4 linked regions of the Arabidopsis thaliana genome follow. The protein of the gene in region 3 interacts with the protein of the main gene of each other region in a pairwise test. Each region holds a gene or a part of one and is shown on either strand. Other genes may lie near its edges.

Region 1 (5,952 bases), 2.4 Mb from region 3:
CACCTTAAAGGCCAACATCTTGAGGCGCAAGTATAATATCAAGAAAAAGAAAAACATTTTTTGACATAGCTTAACATTTGAAAGATTGTGTCAAAATTGATAAGTTGGAAAGTTATATTTTATTAATCAATTTATTAGAGATTAGAAGAAAGTAAATGTTAATATTTTACGCATACTCTAGATGAAAGAAACCTTCCACATATAAAACCAATAACTACAAGACGTAGAGACAGAAAGTAGAATAGAACTACTACCTTGTTTGGTCACTAGCATAATGCTCTAAAGAATAAACAAAAACAAACCCTAAGCTTCCTAGTGTCTACTTAGAATGATCTGGCTTTGTCATGAGACTTTGAAGAATGTTAGTCTCAACGCTTTTGTTACGCTGCAGCGAAGGAGTCCGGTGAAGCTTGCACTTGAATGACCCCGGGTGAGTGGTCGGTGAGCAAATGCAAATGGTCTTAGTGATGCTGGTCTGACGGGACAGACCCCCAAGGCCCATCGCCGCTATGGAAGCTTCAGTCTCCATGTTTCCTTTGTCGTTCATAATGTGAATATTAAAGAAGAAGGGGAATCAATGATGAACGAAGAGGGTATACCTCATTGTGTGTATATAATCATTTTATTATTTGAAGAAGCTTTAAGACTGAACAAATCTTTTTCTTTTTGTATGGTCATCACGGGAATGATGATGGAGTCCATCAAGGACCAACTGTATCCTTGAACTTTTCATGATGTTTCATCTACTTCTATCCCCAAAACCAAAAGGCCAAAAGCCACATAAGTCACTTTCTAATGGTTAATGATTCATGATCATGACTTCCATCATTCATCAATTATACACTTTTATAAATGTTGTAAATGTGTATACATTTATATAGTATTATACACTTTTATAAATGTTGTTGTTTATATATATGTATACATATATACTTTTATAAATGTTGTAAATGTAAATGTATATATATATATATATATATATATAAATGTGTATAATACTATATAAATGCAGTGCAATGCAAAAAAAACTTTTGTTATATACAAAGCGCATTGAATATAGAGGAAAACAATATGAGCTAGGAGCACTGAACTTCTATTTCATATTTAAATGAATATAATCTTTTCAATTAATATTTGGTAGAATAGTTCTATATATAGAATTGTAGTAACAACGAGATTTCAAATTCAAATAAGTGTTATGATTTTATTTTGAATGAATATCGATAATTGAATAATTTTATGATATATTTTTATATAATGTTTTGTTTTAAAATAAAAATTAATATAGACTGATGTGATCATATAAAACTAAAGACAGTCCCAACATCGTTCATATCACATCCACTAGAAATTCCAATATTTAGAAGATCTCTTGGATACTTGAAGAGTACCCCTAAAGATCATAATTGGGATATGGTTTTTTTGAATAAGGGTTATAAACATTGATGCAAATTCGAGTCCTTAAGTATATGTTTACTGAGTTTTGATGGTGCAAATACTTTAATGGACAAAGGATTTTGTGAACCTAAATATAATTATGCCCTTACGGTGATCTGAGAGGGAAAAGGGAAAGAAGAAAAAGCAAGAGGACAAAGGCTGTCTTTATGATTCTGAAGTCAACTTATAGAAAAGAAAAAAAAATCTTAATTTGTTCAAGATATATATTTTTGTCCTTTAGGTATTGTCTTCATCCAGCACCTCGAGTATTTTTACTTTATTTTTGTTATTACCTTTGCTCATAACCGACATATGTCATACACAATTAATTAACTTCGCTCATACTCAGATAAAAATTGTTCTTTGCTAAAACATAGAGATAAATTGATCATAGCACTAGACGAAAAATTAAAAGACAAAAGATTTGAGTTAGTTACCCTTAACCTCATTTCTTACAACCCTAAAGAAACTGTGAAGTGATAAGCACGTAAAAAGTAGAACAACAACAATATTCTAATAATCATCATGAAAGCAATACTGATAAAACATTCCACCATTTCCGTTCTGCTGCATCTTAGCTGAATCAAACCCATTCTCATGATCAGCCCAACCTAACTCTCCATGATATTTAACCTGACCGAATCCGTTTCCTTCGACATGGAAGTCAGCTAAACGAACATCTGTCTGAAAACCGCTCTCTGGCATCGTCGGGAAAACACCAACCGACTGTTGGTTGCTCTTTGGAGGTATAGAAGCATGTTGAGAGATAGGTTTTGGTAAGAAGCCTTGAACAATTTCTTGAAGAAGACCAGAACTAGCTGGTTCTGGTTCAAAGATATTTGATATCAGGCTCTCGTTCTCAATGGTACTTGACCTCTTAGCTTTAGGCGAGAGATCTTCACAGACATCGTTGACGTTAGTGAAGGACTCGTGAACAACGTCGTTTACGTTAGAAAGATTACAAGGCGGGTAAGCGAAAGTGGTTAACGGAGAAAGAGACTGAGAGTTTAACACGTCTCGTAGAAGGAACATATTCATTGGAGGAGACGAGAAAATACGGTGGTGATAAGAGTCGAGAGAAGGCATTGGGTAGACGAAGTTGGTTCGAGCTTTAAGACCACGCATGGCTCGAGCGGCGCAGTCATATGCGCAAGCTGCTTCCTCGGCCGTGTCAAATGTTCCGAGCCATCGTCTCTCCTTGGACAATGGGTCCCGTATTTCAGCTGCGTAACGACCCCATGGCCTACGCCTCACGCCTCGGTACCTTATCGTAGAGACACCGGAAGCGCCGGCGCCGGAGGCAGCTTTTGCGGTAGTTACTCCTCCGGGAGAGCCAGGAGCTGTCGAGGAAGTTCTTGATGGCTTTCTTTTCAAAGAATGGATGTTGGTTTCTCTGTGCTCGGCACCTTCGAGTCTCATGATTGCTTCTTCCATGGTTGACCTAAGGGAAATTTTTAAAGCTAAGAATTTTTCTTTTTGTTCTGTGATTGTCTTAGGGTTGTGAGGCACCTGAATGTGATGATAGCTGATTACGTATTTATAGAAAATAAAATATACATTTTTATTGTTTTTAATTTAAGATGGACCTGACCCAATATATAATTTAAAAAAATGGACTTGCATTGCATCTTTTATTGACTTGTGAGTTGTGAATCTATGAGAGATGCAGAAAGCAAAAGTACGTTTAACGAAGTTCTTGTTCCACGTTCGAACTTACATGTCTTTTCTTTTTCCTTTTCTACGGACTTGCATAAAAGCAGTTATAAGTTACATATTTCATGTCTTTTTGACAAGTAACAAATTCATAATTATGATGTACTATTTTTATCTTAACCCTTGCACCATTCTTTCTTATTGTCAGAGTATAAAGGTCCTTTGATACTGTTGATTAAAGGTCGATTTATTCTTTTGTTTTAAGTGAAAGACATGAATATATTTCAGAAAACTTTCTTGAACAATTTACAAATTAAAATTATAAAATCATTGATTTCATTTATTTTTGAACAAATTCAAAGGTCATCGTTTTCAGCTATTTCCGTTGGTCATATTATTCTTTAATCTTTACGCACTTTTCTTTAATTGTGTTTTGGGAAATAATCAATGGTCATTAATTTATAATAATAATGAATTACAGTAATAATAATAAGCAATAGAGTTAAAAGTGATTTATACAGTAGTTTGTGGAAGGGAAAATTATGATGTTGGAGTTGAAGCTTAAAAGGAGAGGGTTGAAAATCGTGAAATTATGATTCTGAATTAATAACACTGGCGGCGCGCAGAAATTGTTCCTTCTACATGAGGTTGTGTTTTGTCTGTTCTTTTTACGAGATTATGGTCGATTTGCTTATTTAGGGTTTTGCTTTTTAATCTGTAAACCAAAGTCACGTGGATTTGTCTCAACTAGGGCTCTTTCTTCATGGTGTAGCCTCTTTAGGGCTTTCCTACTGTAGCTCGATTGTGACTAATGACCCTTTGCGTTTACGGAAATCAATCTCCACCACTAATTTCGTATATATATGTTTGATAATTAATGTAATTTCGCATTTACATAAAAAATAATCTAAATCTCTCTCACATTCTTGATCAATTAATGTCTGTAAAGCTCCATTCATATTCGAGCCCTAAATATAAGGGTTGAATGCAAAAAAAAAAAATCCGTCAAAAAAAGTTTTATCACGCCTAGGAGAAAAAATTATCAATCGTCTAAATATAAGGGTTGCATGCAATTATCACGTATGTTATTATGTTTATCACGTAATTATTGACATATATCGCGTAGGAGAAAAAAAATATATCAACGCAGAAGTCTTTTAGGAGTGTCTAAATATTTTGCCGTTGTTATATATATAACGATTTACAATCATATCTAATTGCATGTAATTTTTTTTTCATTTAGGTTGTGCCGCGAAAAAATATGCAGATTGAAAAGAAAAAAATAACAAACAAAAAAATGGAATAAATATGTGAGGCAAACAAAAACAAAACTATGTTTCCTCAACAAAACGTTGGCAAATCATGTCTACAAACAGTAGATGTTGAAGGAAGAGAAGTCGTGAGCTCCTTGTGGAATTAGTGGATTATGAAGCTGAACACCACAGAGCTCAGTTTGTAAGGAATCGAAATCACTTTTAAAAAATGTGGAAATTTGTGGAAAACTTGAACCTATATAACGGTGGTATCAACTTGTACGTACACGGTACAACATATCAACAGAAGATTAATTCATGAAGTAGTTTGAATAATCGGCTCTAGCTAGATCTTTAATTCATAGAAATCAGACTAATATTCTAAACCTAAACGATATGGACGTCAATTTGTCAGATGGAGAAAACGGGAAAACTGTTAAGAAAAGAAAATCCTATATTTCTATTTTGATGCATGCTTCCGTCTTTCGAAACTACAAAGAATTAATTTGTAACTTTATGAGTTATGACAACAAAAAAAAGAAGTATTATCATAGCTTTGAAATATATAGGGTGGAGTAGTGAAAAAAAAAATATAGGGTGGTGAACACTATTGATTACATGATATAGATTATTGAGAAATTCCCAATATATCCACATAAAAGAATTAAATGAATGAGAGAATGTGAAAATGTGCTATTTGAACCCAAAATCTTAATTTATTTAATTCAAAAAATAAATGTGCTATGTGATAGGGGTTATAATACCTCAAAAATATATTTACTATTATGCTCAAGAGGCATTCTAGTTAAAGATTTTTTTTTATGTAACTTATTTAAGTACTATATATTTTAATATTTTGGGTTACAAAAAAAATATATCTTACAAAGGAAGTAAATTAAATGTGAGCTTGACCGAAACATAACGGTCCATGGCTCCCATAATAGTTTCTTTACATTTAGATGAAATGAAATTATAACTTTGGTCTTGAGTTGAAATGTCTGGTAATAAAAGAAGAAAATGGAAGGCAAAAATGAAGGGGCAAAGCTACGAAAGTAGGTTACATGCAATGGTACGACATTAAAGTTGATACCAGAATTGTCGCCTCTCTTCTAAACGCGTGGGTTTTTTCTCTGCACAATGCGTCTCTCTCTCTCTCTCTCTATCAATGGCAATATAAACAATATATTATGTTTGACTTTTTTCCCACACGAACGGGCCATCATGTTATATAATGTGATATCGATCGCTAATAGTTGTGGAATATGTTTGTAGCTACGCAAATTAAGGTCATATATGCTATAGCTTACATCCCAAATAAAACACACACGTTACACGTATAAGAAAATCATGCATGGAGCATGGTGATATAAACTAAATTCTTCCATGCATTGTGATATGTAATGCATGGAGCATGGTGTAAACTACATTCGTTTTAATTTCATCAAGATTTGCAATTTTCAATTAATTTTAGACAACAACTTTACATCAATAAAAAATAAAAAAATTTGGTCAGTGTTCGTTTTATTAAAATAAAATTTCTAACTGTACCACCGTACCTAATCGCATTTTCAATTTTTTTTTGCCATATGTTTTCTTTCAATTTTCATTT
Region 2 (6,463 bases), 6.8 Mb from region 3:
AATTTTTATAGTATATTATTTTAAACATCAACTAAACATTGACTGCTGTATTAAACATGAGATTGTATTGACCTAACCAATATATATAGACATGACATTAAAATCCGATAACGGAACCACTAACAGTCGTTAACAATTCTGTTAGTCAAATTACCAACTTTCAAATTTAGGCTATTTTGAACATGAATTTCGTATAAGGCTATTTTAATCATCAACTAAATGTTGACCCGGCCAAAAAAAACATGATTTTAAAATCTACTAACATAACCACTAACAACTGTTATCAATCGTTAACGCACAACAAAACTAAGACAAAAAAAAATAAAAAGAATACAAATAACCAAAACACATGACTACAGAATAGTTAACGACTGATATCGGCTTTTAGTGGTTCCGTAATCACATTTTAACGTCATGTCAAAATTGGTCTGATCAACGCAATTTCATGTTTAATATGGCAGTCAACATTTAGTTGATATTTAAAATAGCTTACTATGAAATTCCTATATAAAATGGCCATTTTTTTAAAGTTGAATGATTACATGACATTTTTCCCGAAGAGAATGTTGAGAGTGATTTTATTTTTTGTCATCAGATATTATTTAGAGTTCAGATGAACCAAGATTGCGGAAAATTGTTTATATAGGTAATATGTAGCGGTTTGACACGAATTTTTCTTGCCAAATACTCCGCTTTGACATTGGTAATACGAGAGAAAGATAAATAAAAAATATGAAATAGTCAATACACGAATTAATAAAAGACAGAAGTTAGGATAAGTAATATTTTTATATTTGCATGTTAACGTTTTCTAAAATATTACTGATACACGTATTCTAGCAATTGTAATTGGTCAGAATTATGTAACAAGTCTTATGTTAATATGTAACTTGCTAAAGCTTAAGTTAGGAGCATGCTTCTACATCCCATATATGATAGATATATAAATCACAAGTAAAATAAATCATATTCTTTCTTCTTGACATGATAACATATTATTTCTAATATATTTTAAATATATTAAAAATAGTAAATATATAAAAATCCCAATAAACCATCTATTATATACACTTCCGAAATCAAATCCAATATTTTTTTTAAACTATATCAACTAACTTGAAAATATCAATTATCAAAATATATATCCGGGCTAACCCCTAGTCACATTAAAAACGGCATTTCGCCTGATTACCCGTCCAGCCTATTTTTCAAACACATTGGAATTTACTGTGGCATAGGAGTTCTCTCTGACGTGTCCATGTTGCTCCACAAGTGGACAATTTTTTGGTAGATACTACAAAAGTATGATAGACAAAATACGAATTTTAAAAGAGAATTAATATATAAATCTAAAAACCCATTTGTATCCAAACATGTGGTGCTCATGCACCCAATAAAGTTTATCACTACAGTCTACACCATATAATTTTTTATTTATATTCGTTAGCTTTTTACGAACTGCAATCAATTCGAAATATTTGAAATATATGAGCGGTCAAAGAAGGTGTATTCAATTATACCCTTCAACAAAAGAGAAAAGGCATTCTGATAAATATTTAATTTATTCTTTTGTCCATTATGTTACACATAGAGATTCAACTATATTTCCTTTAAGTGACATGCTTTTGCATCGAATAAAAAGAGTTGCAAAACTCGTTAATTATTATGCAACCAAAACAATAAATCCATTTTCTTAAATAACAATTTGGCAATCCCGAAAAGCCAACCCTAAAACCCATATTAACATTGGAGTCCTCAACAAAAGTTGCAATAAATCACACATTCACACTTTTTAAAAACCAAAGAAATCATGAAGTCTTTCAAGGAGAACCATCTATAGTAGGATTTTGGTCTCTAGTAGCATGATCACTCACTTGATGTTGAGGCTTTTGCTCAAGACTCATTCCGAGACCAACCCGACCACCGTCTCCTCCTCCGCCGGAAAATAGCCCCAAATTGTTATTTTCTGCAACACCTAACCCTAACTGTTGACCTCCCACTAACATAGACCCTAGCTGAACCGACCCGATTCGACCCGGGTAATGACCCGGATTAAACGCCCACATGTGCTGTGATGGATCCTGAACGTTAGCCGGACCTCCTCCTCCTCCGACTGGTAACATCCAAAAAGCACTACCTCCGTTTGTGGAGGCTGGCGTTGGCGCTAGTGCCCACATCGGCGGTATCATATTTTGTGTTCTTGACCGGGTCGAACCCGGATCTTGATCAGGAGCTTCGGATCCCGGTTTAGGTGATCTTGAACCGGGTTCTTGATCTAGAAAATTAGGATCTTTAAAAAGATCTTCTTCACGGAATGTTTTGGGAAGAGAAGAAGAAGAAGAATCTGTCGTGATATGATGAGGATGATAAAGCTGTTGCTGGAACCCAAAAACGGCAGCGTTTTGAGCCGCTCTTCCCATGTGGAAAGATTTAGACAGTGGAGCTGAAAGAGTAGAGCCACTGCTTCGAAGAGAGATGTTCAAAGTAGAGATATTCGCCGGTATGGTTCCAGTTCCGGTGGCTGCGATGATAGCTGGCTCCGCTTGTTGGAGCAGCCACTCTATAGTCTCGCCGTCCGATTTGTGTTGTAACTCACGTGTTAGTTGGAAGACACGTGCTGCGCAGATAGCCGGCATACGTATCCTCCGGCCACGTCCGTCTACTTTGATGTGACGGTCCTTGGACGGTCGTTTTGCGGGTGTTTTAGCGGCGGTGACGGTGGTGGTAGTGGAGTTTGGAGCAGTGGTGGTTAATGAGACTGAACCGGAGATTGGTCCCATGGATGGGACCAGATGGGCCGAACCAGTGGTGTTGTTGTTGCTCTGGTTGTTGTTGTGGGACTCCATATTGCTTATAAAATTTATAAATTATGGGGAAAAAAACACACAAGAAAATGGAATAAACAAACAAACAAACTTGTACTGAATTTTTACTTATAACCTATAAATTCTTGGAGTATTTTTTTTTTCTGGTGGGGCTATGAGTTTGTGTTGACTGTTGTTTACTTGTTTGGAGAAAGAGAGAGTGAGAGGAAGAAGATGAAGCAGCTTGTAGAAAAGAGAGAGAGACTTTCACTTTCTTTTTCTTTTGTGTTTTATTTTCATTTGTAGTCCCACTAGGTTTTTGTAGTAGAGAGTAGAGACCAATATTTGCTGTTTCCACACCAAATGATCACTTAACCTTTTTTTGTTTGGTTATTATCACACTTACTATATTGTAGTATAAAAATAATTATGCGCCGAATGTATTGAATTTTGGTCTAACTTTGTGAGACTAAAACTATTTTTAGCAATGGACTATGAAAAGTTTGGAAGTGTTTTACATGATTGAAAAAGGTGTGGATTGTCTAAGATTATAATTTTGGGGCATTTTTGTTGCAATCTTTAGATTGTAGGGATCTATTTGTTGGTTTCCTTATAAAGTTTGGCTTTTAGGTTGGATTTTGCATGGGTGGGAAACGTTGAATGTTCTATGGGGGAAAAGAAAAAAACTAATCACTAATCATAGAGCCAATTTACACCCAATATAATAGTGTTTTAATATTATTTATTTTTTTAATAATTTACTGATAATAACACAAATGTCTCTTTCTTTGATTCTCTATTTTGTCTTTGTTATCCGAATTTGATGAAAGACTTGTTGAGAGATAAGGACCACTGTTTTTATTAACGATGATACTAATAATTGAAGACTATATATAAAGGCTTCAATTCTTTTCCCATCTGCCAAATTAGCACCCACAGACATAGGTTATATATAACTAATCATCTCAACTACAATTTTTCTCAACGAAACCTATACATCTCATTCTAGATGTGAAAACTGTCTAAGAATAGTCCAATTTCAGCCTACTATGTTATATGCACATGTATCAGGGTGTTAACAAAGTATTCGAAATCAAAAAGTTTTAAGGAAAATAATTATGCAAGCGTAGTAAATCAATTAGTTTATTGATATTCACGTTGCTCTTAGTGATTAACCATGTATGTATAATCATATTAGTATTAATGCCTATTAACTGATTTATTGCAATATTTTAATTCATAATTGAATATTTAGACTGTATTATTGTTTCATTTTTTATATCAATTAAATTCCTTTATTAGGTTTTATGTTTTTATCAATCCAAAACCATATAATATATTATATTGCTAGCTATACCATTCGGAATCTTAATTTGGACACGAGCTTGAGCTTTTTGGCTGTTCTTAATGTAAGTTACATGTACGCACCGTGAGCTAAATTATAGATAACAATGAAAGTGAAACCAAACCACTATAAAAAAAACTTTATATTTGAACAGTATATTTTATATAATTTATATATATATATATATATATATATGCAATTATATTTTGAACTGTATATATAATCTCTCTTATTTTTTATTTTCCTGAAAAATAATTGTTGAGACAGATGCACGTGTAAGCATTAGCAGTGAAAGAAAACAGTAAAACAGTCAGAGATAGTTGAAGAAGTACAAGAAGCGAGTGATAAAAAAACGTGATGTTTGGTCTGAAACTCTGGATCCTCCCACGGTCCATTGTCTTGTCTCTGTTCTCTCCAAAAAGTGAAAATGTTCATTTACAAGACCATATAGTATGTAGCCTTGTTCAAGATTCTGTTAGAGCACCTTCATTGGATGGAGACTCATTGAGTATCTAAGAAATAAACTATTAATATTTTTTTATATACATTTATTTTTAAATAAATTATTTTAATTGCTTAAAAAAGTATAAAAGTATCAACCAATTAATGTTTTAAATGTGTAGGCAAGACGTTAAAAATAAAATAAAATGGTGAGAGAGTGAAAGTGTTAATCACTCTTCGACCATATATATCTCTAAAATGGTGCTTTTAAATTGTTTTAGAATCATCTACTGCCTAAAAAGCCCATGCTTTACAGGTTTTAGCTTTGGGTTGGTCTTGTGTGTAGGTATGATCTCATGAGTTCTCATCCAAAAAACAATTCTACTCTCTTTCATTCCCTTTAATTTCACTCATCCCATTTTACATTTCTTGTAAAAAGTTTCCTCAACCTTTCACTTCTCTTTGATACCACCTAGATACATAGAATCTCGTATTTCTATAATCTTGTGATATACATCGTACTTTTTTTTTTTTTTTTTTTAATGTAATGTTAAATTAAATCCAAAAAAAAAATAGCGTTTTTACATCTATGTGCAACATTTTGTTGAAAAAACTGGAGCAAAAACTAGAATACAATCTAAAAATTGTTTCTCATTCTCTCATCGCAAACCAAGCTTGTAAGCCCTTGTCATATCTCTTATCTCCACTTGCTTTGATCGAACAAAGCTGGTTCCGAGTTTGTTTGTCTATTCATTTGATTAAAAGAGCTGCTGAGTTTGGTTTCTCTCCATGATTCCTTCCGTTCCTTTCGCGCCAAATGGTGTGTACCGTGGCTTGAAAGAGATATCGCGCAAAGAAACTGTCAAGCGGTGTCATCCAAGAGCCGGAGATGGCTTGTATCAGGTCTTGCCAATGTGTAGAAAATCTGTCTCCATAGATTCCTCTTGCTAAGTTACTCCAAACTATCGAAGCAAAGTCACAGGAGAAGAAGAGATGATCCCGGGTTTCGGGAGCGTTGTGACATAGCACACAAGCGGCTGACTGACCTCCATTCCAATGAGTCATTCTGTCTCCTGTTGAGAGTCGGTTAAGAACTGCTAACCAAACACAAAAAGAGTACTTTGGCGTGGAATGACCAAACCAAACACCCTTATACCAATCAACGTCCATGGATATGGTCCGCATATGATTCAAGGTCTCTTTAGTCAAGAACTGTGGCTTATATACGTCATTTTTACCTTTCCAAAGAACAATGTCCTCATCCTCTGTTCTATCGTTTCTTTGTTGTAAGAGAGCTGTTTCTATGGCCTGAAGGTGAGTAGATCTGTGTCGTCTTTGTCTATAGCCTTCCCAAGCCTCTGCTACTGTTTTATGCTTACTTATTCCAAGATCAATTTGCCCCCGATCACCTACAACATCGTACTTCAATATTTCTTCCTCCGATAATTTTAGAATACTTTTTCAATGCTTTGTTTTTCCTTCTCTCATAGCATGTGACTAATATTGACAATCTTCTAACTCGTCTTTGCATGAAATGTTGTGGGAGACTCTTGTCTCAATGGTTCTTCCATAGTTAATTTTTCTGTTTCAGTTAAATGTATTTCAAATTTAGCTTTTAAATTTTGTTTGGGCATGTCTGTCTTCTGACTTTGTAAATAACTTTTTCGTTTCGAGGTAATATATATTCACAAGTTATAAAGAAAAAAAAAAAATGTTGACGATCTTACTCCGTTTTCAAATGTGTTAACAGCCACTTTTTCTGGTAGATTTTCCGGTGAAAGCACTAATTAGAAAACCAGTTTTTGGACATGATGGAATCCTCGTCGAGAACATTATATGCTGGTGTATTGGAATGTCATAAATAGAGTTTGCT
Region 3 (5,920 bases):
ATCCTTAGACTTGGTGCTCATTTACTGCAGAATCTGAACAGAATCAAGGTTCCGTTTCTTGTGATGCACGGCACAGCTGATACAGTTACTGATCCTAAAGGTACTCAGAAGCTATACAATGAGGCTTCCTCATCCGATAAGTCGATCAAGCTGTACGACGGGTTGTTACACGATCTGCTCTTTGAACCAGAACGGGAAACTATAGCTGGAGTCATATTGGATTGGCTAAACCGGCGGGTTTAAATTCCTCAAACCAAATGTAGCACAGTTCCTTACTCCTTAGGTAATATAGAGGGATATGCGAAAGACATAATCAATAGTTCCTCTGTTTCTGTCGATTGATCTCGACACTATTTTGACATTACGCACACTTTTATTGTAATGAATATACGATGTTGTAACTCTGTTAGTGGTCATCGTAACCATTTCTTGTATAAACGATACTAGATTTATATTTTGTTGATAGGGAGATAATCATAATTATATATGGGGTTTATAAGAATATGAATCGTCAGATGAATTTCAATAGAGCATATTTCTGATCATACAAAAATTCTACAAAAAAATAATAATTGCGATTTGGGTCACCCGGAAAATATCCAGACCCGTAATATCACAAGCAGTCGGATCTAAAGACTTTCACGGAGAAAAGGGTGACCGAGAAGCTGCGACGCCGTCCACCTCTCACTCGATTCTTTACGGAGACAACAGTCAACAAAACTCCTAAACTCGTCGGAACATCCTTCCGGCGCACGCGGTGGTTCTCCAAAGCACACGACGCACATTAACGTCGCCCAGTCAGGTCTCTGTCCCTGAGGAAGCAACGGAAAATGTCCGACGAAGAGCTCAAGTATCATCACTCCGAAACTCCAGATATCGCCTGCGTAAACATCGGAGTTTTCTCCGGCGGCAGAGTCAAATCTCTCCGGGCTCATGTAAGCGCAAGTGCCGACGTAGGAATTGCAGTAATCTAACGATCGGGTAATGATTTTGCTCACTCCAAAATCAGCGATTTTAACTTCGTTTCTCGAGTTTAAGAGTAGATTCGCAGGTTTGATGTCTCTGTGAACGATCTTGAGTGAGTGGAGATAACTTAAACCTTTCAAAATCTGGCGGGAAAATCCCGCTAGTTGTTTCTCCGTAACGGCGCCGCGGAGAGATTCTAGGTTTCCACCGTCCATATACTCCATGAGGATCGAAACCTCTCCGACGATTGGTTTCTCGAAGATCCCTTGACACCTGACGACATAAGGAGAATCCGTGCGACGGAGGATCTCCATCTCGCGCGCTAATTGTCTTGTGAAAGCAGGACTCATGTCGCCGTTGACTGATTTCAGAGCGTATATCTCCCCCGTGGTTTTGTGGTGGACTTTGTATACGATCCCGCTGCTTCCTCTTCCGAGAACGTGGAGTTTCTCGACATCGGAAGCTGAGATTCCGTTGTTGATGACGGGGGCGGTGGATGAGGCAAAGGAGAACCAGGGGAGGTGAACAGAGAGCGGTGGGACAGGGAGACGGAGGTTGATTTGACGGCGTTTACGAACAAGAGCCATGGAAATAGAAGAGAGAGAGAGAGAGTGATGATGGTGATCGAAGAGTGATGGAAGTTGCAGTTTTTATATGGAGACTTGAGTGGGATTTAAGTGAGGAGCCTGGGAAGCTAATAAATCTTTCCATTAAATGTTAATCACTCTTTTTTGTTCTTTATCTTAATTATTATTTGTTGAGTTGTATCTAAAAATGGCAACTAGTGTGTCTACCGTTTATGTTTATCTTGCACGAGGTTAAATGCATGGGACTGCTATCTGTCCTACTTACCCGGAACCTGGCTATAGTGGCTTGTGTATATTGAGATAAATCTACGCAATAATGATTAGATTTATATACATTTAAAGAGTTTGTTTTAGTGATTTTGAATGGTAACTCAATTATCAAAGTTTGTTACAGCCTGTATCGTGATAATTACAAATTACAAAGGCGTTATAAAAGCGTTACTTTTAACGTTTTGCATTAATGATTAGATTTATATGCATTTAAAGAGTTTGTTTTAGTGATTTTGAATGGTAACTCAATTATCAAAGTTTGGTACAGCATGTACCGTGATATTACAAATTACAAAAGCGTTATAAAAACGTTATTTTTAACTTTTTGTACTACTTATTTATATAGTTTTGCATTCTAATTTACAGCTAAAACAACTTTAAAGCTTTGTGTTACCTATCAGAATCGTTATCTTCACATTCAAACACATAATCCATTGTTGTTGAAAAATAATAATACTTTCAAAACATTTATTTTAGTGATATTAATTTGACTTGATAGTAAGATTATTATTTACTCATAAAGACATTGGTGGAATTTAGTTATATAATTTTCATATACTAAACTATAGGAGATTTTAAAGTTTAATGTGAATTTGTGAGGTTCAATGTACCTCGGAGGCTAAGGACTTCTAATGAAAATGACCAAACAATAAGTTATATTTAGGCCATCATGCAAAAGCTTTCCAATGGCCATCGCCATTAATATTGCCAAGTTAATTATTAATATGATTTTAGTAAAAACTATGATTAGATCTTCAGATTCTTAGTGGACAGTCACACATGACCCTACGGATTACAAGTATTTAGCATGTCGATTGTCATGCGCGTATATATCCAAAGAATACTGAATAAAAATAATATGAAGTCAATCAAATGAATAACAATCAAATTATATGAAGTCAATCAAACCTTTATGAATGTGATTTGCTTCTTTTTCCAACCAAAAAACTTGTTTGTTTATTTGTTAGTTGTTACTCCCAAAAAAATGTAGTAAGCTTTTTATGCCCCATGTATTATATATCAAGACGATCTCCAAACATGACTATAGTTTCATAGGATGGATTGGATATCAGGACATGTGTGAATTTACTAATTTTTAGTATTGAAACAAACAACATTTCAACCAAAATTTTTTACCATTAAAATTAATATATCGACGTCCGATAGTATAAAGCTTGAATAAACTGAATTTCGTATCAGTAGCCAGTTTGAAAAATAAATTTGTTCCTTGAGATTTTGGTGTTCTTTTCCAAAAGAAAGAACAAAGAAAACAAAAGGCCCTTGTAAAAGGCGGTTTAGTTCATAAAGAAAACTGGGCCTATCTAAAAATTTGAACTAATGCCATATTTGGGCTTAGTAAGCCCGGCTTACGATACGACGTTTATAGTCGGATCTGATTCGGATCCAAACCCGTTTGATGGATCCGGCTCCTACCAAATCACTTCAGATTTCTGTATAAGCTAAAAATCCTTGAATTTTTCAGTAAGTTACTATAGCATCCGAGAATTTCATTCTTTAACTCTGGTTCGTAATCGGAAAACTCAAAGACCTGTTGTGAAGATATATTGGAGAAGAAAAAAAAAACGATTTCCCGGCACTGAAATAGCATTATCAGATCTCGTTCCCACCGGGAAGATTTCCCGGCACACTGAAATTCTGACTTGGAATCGTCTGTGAAACTATGCCTGCCATTGCTTCTAAGCAGTATTCAGGTTATTATTAAATTCCTCTTACTTCGAAACCCTCACATTCCTCAATCGTATAAGTATGTAGATTAGATATCCCAAAAACTGGAAACAAGTCTGATTGGCTCGTGATTGTTTTTTTGGTCGCAGACGATGTTAGTCTTCTAGTTTTGTTGCTTGATACGAATCCTCTTTTCTGGAGCACTACATCGATTACCTTCTCTCAGTTCCTTTCTCATGTAAGTGTCTCTAACGAATCTATTGTTTGTTTGTTCAATGCTTCGATTTTTATGCAGAAAGCTTGCTGCTGTTATGTGTAGGTGCTTGCGTTTCTTAATGCGGTTTTGGGGTTAAATCAGTTGAACCAAGTTGTAGTTATAGCTACTGGATACAGTTCTTGTGATTACATTTATGATTCGTCTTTGACATCAAATCATGGAAATTTCGAGAGCAATGGAACTGGAATGCCTGCAATTTTTGGTTCTTTGCTTAAGAAATTGGAAGAGTTTGTTACCAAAGATGAGGAGCTCAGCAAGGAGGAAGTGTCTGAGGATAGAATACCTTCTTGTCTCTTGTCAGGATCACTCTCCATGGCTCTTTGCTGTATCCTCTTGGAAAAGCATATAGCATCATGATAGGTTTCTTGAAGCTATATATAGTACAAACTATTAGGATTTGTTTGCATAAGTTCTGGCAGTGATCTTGAAGCTTAGCTTTCTCTCTAGACTGGGTTAAGTAAGGAACATTTTAGGTTGACATGTTTGTTCTCAGCTAAACCTATAGCATGTCTAAGGCCATCAATGTTATCTGGTAATATATGTATTTGATTTTCAGTCTTCACATTTTGTTGTTGACTTAATTTATGGCTCTAGATATACAGAGGGTTTTCCGTTCTGGACATCTTCATCCCCAGCCTCGGGTGAGTGTTCAGTAGGATATATGTATCAATCAGTTGTCTTGGATAAAACTTTTCATGTTGATTGCTTTGTATGAATCTTCAGCTTAAAGTATTAATGAGAATATAGACTCCTTTTTCTTATGTGTTATCTGTTCTATCGTATACCCCCAAAATACAGAACTGATTGTGCTATTGACGTTTATATGAAATACAGATTTTATGCTTGCAAGGTTCCCCAGATGGCCCGGAACAGTATGTTTCTTCCTTCATTTTTTTTCTACTTGCAAGATTTTGTCTTGTTTGTCTGGTCTCATTAAAAGGTTTTGTCATTCTTTCAGGTATGTTGCTGTTATGAACTCTATCTTCTCTGCCCAACGCTTGATGGTAATCTTCATTTTGATTGGTTCTTTGGGATTTCCGGTTCTTGATGTTCTCTAAATCCAGTATCATGTACCCAAATCACTTCATCAATTGGTTCTTTAGGTTCCCATTGATTCGTGTTACATAGGTGTACAGAACTCAGCATTTTTGCAGCAGGTAATATCATTTCTCCTTTATACATGATTCTAACTCGTCAAACTGGACCTATGCGTCAGCTGTTATCTCCTGGCTTATTTGTAGGCATCTTATATAACTGGTGGTGTACATCATACACCTAAACAGTTGGATGGGCTATTTCAATATCTAACGGTACGCAACTCAAGTCCAAACGCAAACCATTATGTGACTCGTCTCTCATTTAGCGAACTCAATACTCAATGGCTGCTAACTCTGGATTGTTTTGTTTTGCACAAAAGACAATCTTTGCAACCGATTTGCACTCCCGCGGTTTTGTACAACTTCCTAAACCCATAGGTGTAGATTTTCGCGCATCGTAAGTGATCAAGTCATTAACTCTTCAATTAATCGGGTCTTCCTCTGCATATATAACAGATGGTTTTAAGTACAAAATTTGCAGGTGCTTTTGCCACAAGAAGACAATAGATATGGGCTACATATGCTCAGTGTGTCTGTCCATTTTCTGTGAGCATCACAAGAAATGTTCAACCTGCGGGTAAGAGATTTGACCCGTCATGTTCTTTCTCAAGATAACAATCTATCATGTTGTTTGATACTAATATCGAAAAGCTTTTGGAAATTTGCAGGTCTGTATTTGGTCAGTCTAAACTTGATGATGCTTCATCTGCCTCTGATAAGAAGAGAAAAGCTCCTAGTACCTAAAATCATCTTTTGTGCCAGAGAGAAACTGCAAACTTTGTTTAATTGTGTCTTTGCGTTCATTTTCGATAATTTTTATACCATATATCAAAGTGAAATCAATTTTGCAAAGTTTTTGACTCTTTTTTTTTCCTTGAGATAGTACCCGTTGACTTGAGCAAACAAAACAAAAAGGCCTCTAATAGTCCATATAGAAAGTTGGGCTTCTCTATCGAATTTGAACGAATACGACATTTGGGCTGACGTCATTTATTATTGTCGGATCTATTTCGGGTCCAAACCCGTTTGATGGATCC
Region 4 (6,911 bases), 4.1 Mb from region 3:
ACAAAATTTTGTTTTAATTTTTTTTTTTACTTTGTCTTAGCTCAAATTATCAAAACAATAAAAAATTGTCTTAACCTTTTTCTGTTTTTCAACATTTTACTTAATTATATGTAAAACAAATTTACGTTTCTTTCCCTCTGAATTATTTTCTAGTTATATTTTGTATTTCATACACCTATGTGTAAGTGGTATAAAGAGTAAATTTAACTTCTTCTTCTTTTCAACAAGAGTAAATTTAACTTTAAAACTAAAAATTACATGATTTTATTAGTGATATATATAGTTGTTTTTGAATAGTTAATATAGATTATATTGATATGCACAAATCTCTTAGTGATTTGTCCCACTTTATTAGGAATCTTAAAAACTGAAGTTCGAGAATATTGTCGTTTGCTTAGACAATTCAATCCCCAAACTATAATTGTGCCTGATTATTTGAATACCAGAACTGAAAATATTAAACTTCTCCAACTGATTGATAAACATATCCAACTGAATCTTTAACAATTCGAACTACAAACTTAAAAAAATAGCAGAAAATAAAAATCAAACCCTAGCTAGAAAAATTAGAAAAGGTTCAAATTACTAGTTATTAACTAGGGACCTTGGGGAACAAAAAGAAAGAAAGAAAATGAAATCTAGTCTTTGAAATATTTCTTCCAACGCGGGTGCGTTTTCCAACGCTTCTCGGCCATTTCCTCAATAGGAACACCTTTGGTTTCGGGAAGAAAAAACACGACAAATAGTCCCATGATAATGTTCATTATTCCGAAGAAGAAGAACAATAATGATCTGAATCTGCAGAGAGCAGACAAGAAGAACTGTCCAATGATGAAAGTGCAGACCATGTTCATCGCCACCGCACAGAAGTAACCAGCATTTCTCACTTCAAGAGGGTAGATCTCAGACGGAACAAGCCATCCCAATGGACCCCAAGACCATGCAAATCCAGACACGTATACGCAGATGAGGATCAATACAATCAGCGGCACGGCATGGCCAGTAATAGGACCAACTAGCTTCAAGTGAGCTAAGAGAATGCCTCCAATTGTCATCTGCGTAAGATGATCAAAAAAAATACAAGTTAGCTTGTTATCCAAGTAAGAATATGTGTACCATGTGACACAAGCAAAAAAAAAAAAAAAAAAACTAACCTGTGTAGCGGTCATCTGGAGAGCTCCTTCCATCAGAAGACACCTTCTACCGGCGAAATCAACCACTAAAAGAGAGATAACTGTAGCGATTGCGTTCACACCATTGGTGACAACAGTAGAGATCAGAGAAGCGTTGTCACCACTACCCATCGTCTGGAACAAAACTGGAGCGTAGAACATAACCACGTTGATACCGGTGAACTGTTGAAAGAACTGAAGTAACGTTCCACACACCAATGGTGGTCTGTTCTCACTCTTGGTGAAGAGTTCTTTGAATGGGCTTTTCACCTTTGTCGCTACCTCTGTTGCGTATTTGATCTCATTGAACTCGAGCTCAATATCTTCAATGCCTCTGATCTTCCTCAGGACTTGCTTCCCCTTTTCGTCTTTACCGCGCTCGATGAGACTAGCCGGAGTCTCGTGGATAAAGAAGGATCCTATCAAGAGGATTAAAGCGGGGACAGCAGCACCACCGAGAGAATATCTCCAGCCGTTTTTCAACGTGGAAGTTAAGTAGTTCACATAACTTGCTGCTAAGATTCCAATGGTGATGAGAAACTGGAACATGACGTTTAGTCCTCCTCTGTATCTCGCCGGAGCAATCTCTGAGATGAACAATGGAACGGTCTGCAAAAGTATTGCTTTCAATGTTAATAAACAAAACAAAACAAAACACGATGAGTTAAGGCATAAAAACAGAGGAAACCCTAGGTGAAAACAGAGGAACCCTAGATGAAAACAGAGGAATCCACTGAGATAGAAAAACGTTTTGAGGGTTTGACATGATACCTGGTTACCGAAACCGATACCAAAGCCGAGAAGAATACGACCACCGATCAACATGCCGAGTTCTTGGGCAGATAAGTTGAGGATAGCACCGACGAGGAAGAAGATGGAGGCGAGCATGATTGTGGGTTTTCTTCCAAAAGCCCTAGAAACATAGGAAGAAATAAAGCTAGCGAAGATTCCAGCCAAGTAGAGTGAGGAAGTGAACAACTGCAAGAGCTGGTCATCGAATTTGCAGTAGTTGTTTTCGTGTACTCTGTGTTTCTTCTCGTACACGTGTGGGAAAAAATCTAACAAGAAAGTGTCCATACTCGTTACACCTCCTGCAAATTTTGATCACCATTAATTGATATCACTGAAAAAACAGTCAAACCCTAACAAACAAAAACCAATAGAAGAACAAACCTGAGATTCCGATGTCGTAACCAAACATGAGACCACCAACAGCAGCAATGACACAGCAAAGAAAGACTTGACCTGTCAGCTTCGCAGGAAAAGCTTTAGTGCCTTCTTCGACATTCATCGAACCAACAGCCATTGTTGTTGATCTCTTAGCTTCTTTTAATATTTCTGACTATGTGGTATTGAGGATCGTAAATAAAACTCAAATGCCTAAGAGAGGAGATGGGGTTTCTTTTATAGATGAGTGTGAGGGTTTTGGATAAACTAAGATTTAACAACTGAATCTTTTTGAACGAATTTTTCTTCTGACTCGATCCTGTTTTATCTGAGAATAAATGTGGATAATTACTGATAAGATATATGTGTTTTGATATTAAGATATTATCATTTAAATAAATAAACAATTAAATCGTTTAGATCAATATCGAGATTAAGAAATAAAAACTCTTTTTTTTTTAAGTAAAAGATAATGACGTTTGATCGACACAATAATAATTTTTTATACGACATATATGATCTCAGAGCTTGGCTTTTGATTATGTAATATTTTTAACATTCATATAATTACACAAGCAAGTCTGGGTAGAATATTTTTCCTATAAGAAATGAGTGTGAAAAAAGTTTTGGATAAAATTTAGACAAAATTATCCGCATGGTCATTGCATGAAAAAGAATAATAATCTACACCTATATAATCGTAAGAATTATAAGTATTTGTTATTAAAAAAAAAAAAAAAATTCTTGTTATACATTTTTCAGCATGGATAAAATTTTATCCAAATGTTTTTTTGGACATCATTTATCCACATTTAAAAGCAAATATTAATCCCATGAGAGAATACGAGAAAAACGCAGATAAGTTGATATACGGTTTTAAAAAAAAAAGGTGACCACTTATATTAAAAGGTAAAATTAATTGGTCATTAATATTAAAAAATATTTAGAGCTTCATAATCAGGAGAAGAGTTGTTGTTGTTGTAAAAAATTTTATCTTGTTGATAATCAACGATCCTTTATTTATTTTAAACTAAAAGAGAAAGTAATTTACTAAAATTTAGAAATAACCAATCATTATCAGATTTCCCATACTATAATACATTAAACTTTTTAAAAGACAACATAAATTATATCTCAGTTATCATCAAACAAAATGATGATCACTTCACTAAATCAAATTCCACACATTAATGTTCAACTTTAGCATATACATAAAATTTAGCTAGGGAACCTAAATCCTCTACACTGCATAAGCCTGAATTTGTTGAGTGTTCAACAAAAGGACAATGGCATCTAAAGAAGAAACTTCTTCTCTAGCTTCTCACTTGCCTCAGACTATCCTTGTTTTAGAAAACACACGTCATCATTTTGTTAAAGGTACATTTCAGTTCAAGTACTGTCATTGAAACTGATCTCTGAGCACACTTCATCTACTGTTCCCATCAACACCTGATTGATTCTGTGGAGATTCCGGATATGGAATCACTGGCGGAGGTTGACTATCTAATGTATGTTCCAAACTCTCAGAAGTCAGAGTATAAGTCTGGTCTAAAGATAACAACATGTCTGGTAACACTGATCTTGGGGAAGTAGCAGACTCGTCTGATGTGACATTGTTCACATTTGAAACTTCAGGTTCCACAAGTTCTTGCAACTCTTGAGTTGATTGGTCTCCATCATTTCCCCCAAAATGTTCTTGGGGTTCTTGATTTGTTCTTCTTTCAAAGGCTTCAGGTTCATCAGAGTCATCATTTATCTTCATCTCATCAGTCAAGTTTTGGACACGTTCCTGTCATAACGGTACAAGGAATATATTCAAATTCAACATTTTGAGAAACACATTGCAAGTAGCAATCATATTTCCATAAAACCTGACAAGAACAAGAACTATATAACCTCTTCTCTTCTCGAAATAACTTCATTGATGTGAGGAACTGTTGACTCTTCATGTATATAGAATCCTTTGTCTGAATTTTCCAGTGGAAAGCGTCCGGATTTTGAGCTCTCTTCTTCCTCAGATCTTCCGTTGATATCAGTACCATCAGACAGACCCTCAACTTGTTTGGCTACATAAGTTTCTGGAGAGACCTTAGAAATCGTTTCATTTAAATCTTTATCAACTTTCTCCACTGGTAACATTTGAGTTTCTTCAGTTCTATCCACAATGCTCTCCTCACCACTAAATCCCGTCTCCTTCCCAATGTCTGATTCGTTGACAATACGTGATTTTTCTTCATCAGAAGAATTATTCCCATCAACTGTAGTGGGAGGTGATCCAATTTCAGAAACCTCAACTTGAAGATCAGATTCTACAGATAACTTATGACCTTTTTTTGAGCTATAACCAAAATGCTCCACGTATCTTTGCCTTTCCGCTGCTAAAGAACTCGAAAGCGAACCAGTGTTTCTAGGAACTAAACCAACTAAAGGGTTTTCAACACGAAGATCACCATTTCCTTTCCCAGAAGTTCCAGAAAAATATGCTTGATTTGAGACATCAGAATTCATTTCCCTGTCTTCAGGAGAAAGCAATGAGTTTGAATCACTAACAACAATCTCTGTCATGTGTTCTGACTCCATATCATTTACTTCTCCTCTTGTTAGATCTTTTCCTTTCATTACAGGATGTTTCTCCCCAACCAATCCATCATTGCTACCTACATGAGCAAGGATCAGAATTGTAGAACTTAGAATCATTTACTTTGTAAGCTACAACATTTTTCAGAATGACAAGAGGATGTACCTTGTTGTGGTATTGACTTCTTTTTCCACGGTTCCCATTTCGTGTCAAGCTGATTGTCCAATGGAAAGACTCTGCGACAAAAGCTTTCATGGCGGCAGAAGAAGATATCATTAGGGTTGGCTGCAAACTCTTGCTGAAAACTATCTCCTGAGAGGTTAGGCTTCTCTTCTTGTGGATCATAAGGAATATCAAAAGGGTTTTTAGTTGGTAATAACACAGAAGGTGCAGATTCAGGCATTTGAAGACCATCAACTATATAGTTTTCTTGATCCAAACCGAAATAGTTCCGTCCAACACAGACTGGAGGAACTTCCATATCCATTAAGCTACTCTCAGCGGCAAGTCGGACTAATCTCCTCATTCTTCTTCTAGTAATCAAATGCTCTAACCTCTTGTTACGTTCCATCTCAGAGTTTCCTAAATCCATCAAATTCTTTTGATCATCCTCTGTCCAAGCTACAATCTTTTTGTCTTCACGTGTAGTTTCTTCTTCTTCTTCGCCTTCTGATGACGATGAACACTCGATCTCGGTTTCGCCACCACCACTAGTCAACCTCTCCGATGGATCCACAACGGAAACATTCCCGGTGGTTGAAAGAGTTTCTTCATCTAAGCTAGGCTCAAAGGAGAAACCTTCAGACACAAGAAAGGCTCCATCTTTCTTGAATTTCTGAAGTTTGGGAGATTTTGCAGTATTGGGAATTTCACCATAGAGAGTTGTTAAAATGACTCTGTCTCTCTCATCTTCACTAGCCTGAGAAGAGTCCCAATCTTTCCCAACCTCTTCAACTTTCCTTCTAGCGTTTCGTCGAACACTTCGTTGGTGCTTTAAGTCAGCCTTCCTTGTTTCTTCCTCCTCAGATCTCTTTTGGGAAAATGGTGAAAACCAATTATCCGTTTTGATATGCAAAAGCTTAAAACTTGGATGATTCCGAAGATAAAACACAGAGCATGCGATTAACGGAGAAGAGTAAAGGACGAAATAAAAAAGGCGTGGAAGAAAAATGTATAGGAGGAAGATAATTGCAGAAACACCAGAAACAACTGGGTGATTCCTTACGTTTCTATAAACGATGTTCGTGGAAAATCTGAGAATTTTCCAGAACAGAGTTCCGACATCTTTGGCATCGATTCCCATGTTTTAAACAGTTCAAATTCTCAGAACACTTTGAGAGATAATAACCCAAAGCATTCTGTCTATGGCGGTTTGTGTTTTGTCCTAGAGAATCAAAATGCTTGAAAGGGAAAAACAAATATGGTTTAATTGAAGAAGCGAAAATTGATCAATAAGAGAGAGGTCAAGCTTTCATTTGAAACAATAACCAGTCAATAAAAAATAGATTTTTCAAGGGTTTTTTTAGATTTTCGTTTTGGTTCTTTTTCAGTTTTCAGAACACACGGTAAGGACGGAGAAGACAAAATAGAAAACTGGTAAGAGAGGGCGGGAGTTAAATTAGTTGCTTTCTTACACATGTTTCCAAAGATTCTTGTTTTCTTACACTTTTAACCACATTTTTTACTGGTTCAGAAATTGACCCTTAAAGTTCATGGATTTTGCATCTCATATCTCTTTCTTCAAAAGATTGGGCTATCTTCTTAAGCCCACCAAGACCCATCAAATGTCTGTAAATAACATACACTATTGACACTTCCTAAGTTTTCTAGCTAATCCTTTTTTTTAGCAAGTTGTTAACAGATTTGTGTGAGACTATTCATGATTTTCAAAACCAAGATGAACATCAACGCTTAAAGCTTATAATAGCCACTCTTTCTTGTTAACTTGATGACTAAAGTCAATCTTTGTTGCTCAATCTTAACTGATACACACA

The links.
Region 1: the proteins of MKK7 (region 3) and DRNL interact in binary tests that used the Arabidopsis thaliana proteins (3 or more experiments, as listed by UniProt).
Region 2: the proteins of MKK7 (region 3) and AT1G35560 interact in binary tests that used the Arabidopsis thaliana proteins (3 or more experiments, as listed by UniProt).
Region 4: the proteins of MKK7 (region 3) and STP2 interact in binary tests that used the Arabidopsis thaliana proteins (3 or more experiments, as listed by UniProt).

What each region holds. Positions count from the first base shown.
Region 1 is NC_003070.9:8,712,439-8,718,390, forward strand, and holds DRNL (DORNROSCHEN-like protein), read right to left. Parts: upstream 2,941-5,952; 5' UTR 2,872-2,940; coding exon 1,951-2,871; 3' UTR 1,927-1,950; downstream 1-1,926. Other genes in the region: AT1G24577 (uncharacterized protein), read right to left, coding at 320-547. UniProt on the Arabidopsis thaliana protein: Required for correct embryo patterning and cotyledon organogenesis. May positively regulate the gibberellin signaling pathway leading to germination, hypocotyl elongation, and leaf expansion.
Region 2 is NC_003070.9:13,114,279-13,120,741, forward strand, and holds AT1G35560 (TCP family transcription factor), read right to left. Parts: upstream 2,958-6,463; 5' UTR 2,847-2,957; coding exon 1,821-2,846; 3' UTR 1,548-1,820; downstream 1-1,547.
Region 3 is NC_003070.9:6,311,319-6,317,238, reverse strand, and holds MKK7 (MAP kinase kinase 7), read right to left. Parts: upstream 1,604-5,920; 5' UTR 1,554-1,603; coding exon 630-1,553; 3' UTR 501-629; downstream 1-500. Other genes in the region: AT1G18360 (alpha/beta-Hydrolases superfamily protein), read left to right, coding at 1-243; AT1G18340 (basal transcription factor complex subunit-like protein), read left to right, coding at 3,505-3,535, 3,659-3,747, 3,829-4,111, 4,381-4,427, 4,621-4,658, 4,745-4,790, 4,890-4,943, 5,028-5,096 and 3 more; AT1G18335 (Acyl-CoA N-acyltransferases (NAT) superfamily protein), read left to right, coding at 5,913-5,920. UniProt on the Arabidopsis thaliana protein: May function as a negative regulator of polar auxin transport. Positively regulates plant basal and systemic acquired resistance (SAR). Activates MPK3 and MPK6 in vitro.
Region 4 is NC_003070.9:2,250,440-2,257,350, reverse strand, and holds STP2 (sugar transporter 2), read right to left. Parts: upstream 2,530-6,911; 5' UTR 2,479-2,529; coding exon 2,346-2,478; intron 2,264-2,345; coding exon 1,944-2,263; intron 1,782-1,943; coding exon 1,155-1,781; intron 1,056-1,154; coding exon 639-1,055; 3' UTR 501-638; downstream 1-500. Other genes in the region: AT1G07330 (dentin sialophosphoprotein), read right to left, coding at 3,766-4,128, 4,236-4,996, 5,083-6,220. UniProt on the Arabidopsis thaliana protein: Mediates an active uptake of hexoses, probably by sugar/hydrogen symport. Can transport glucose, 3-O-methylglucose, xylose, mannose, fructose and galactose.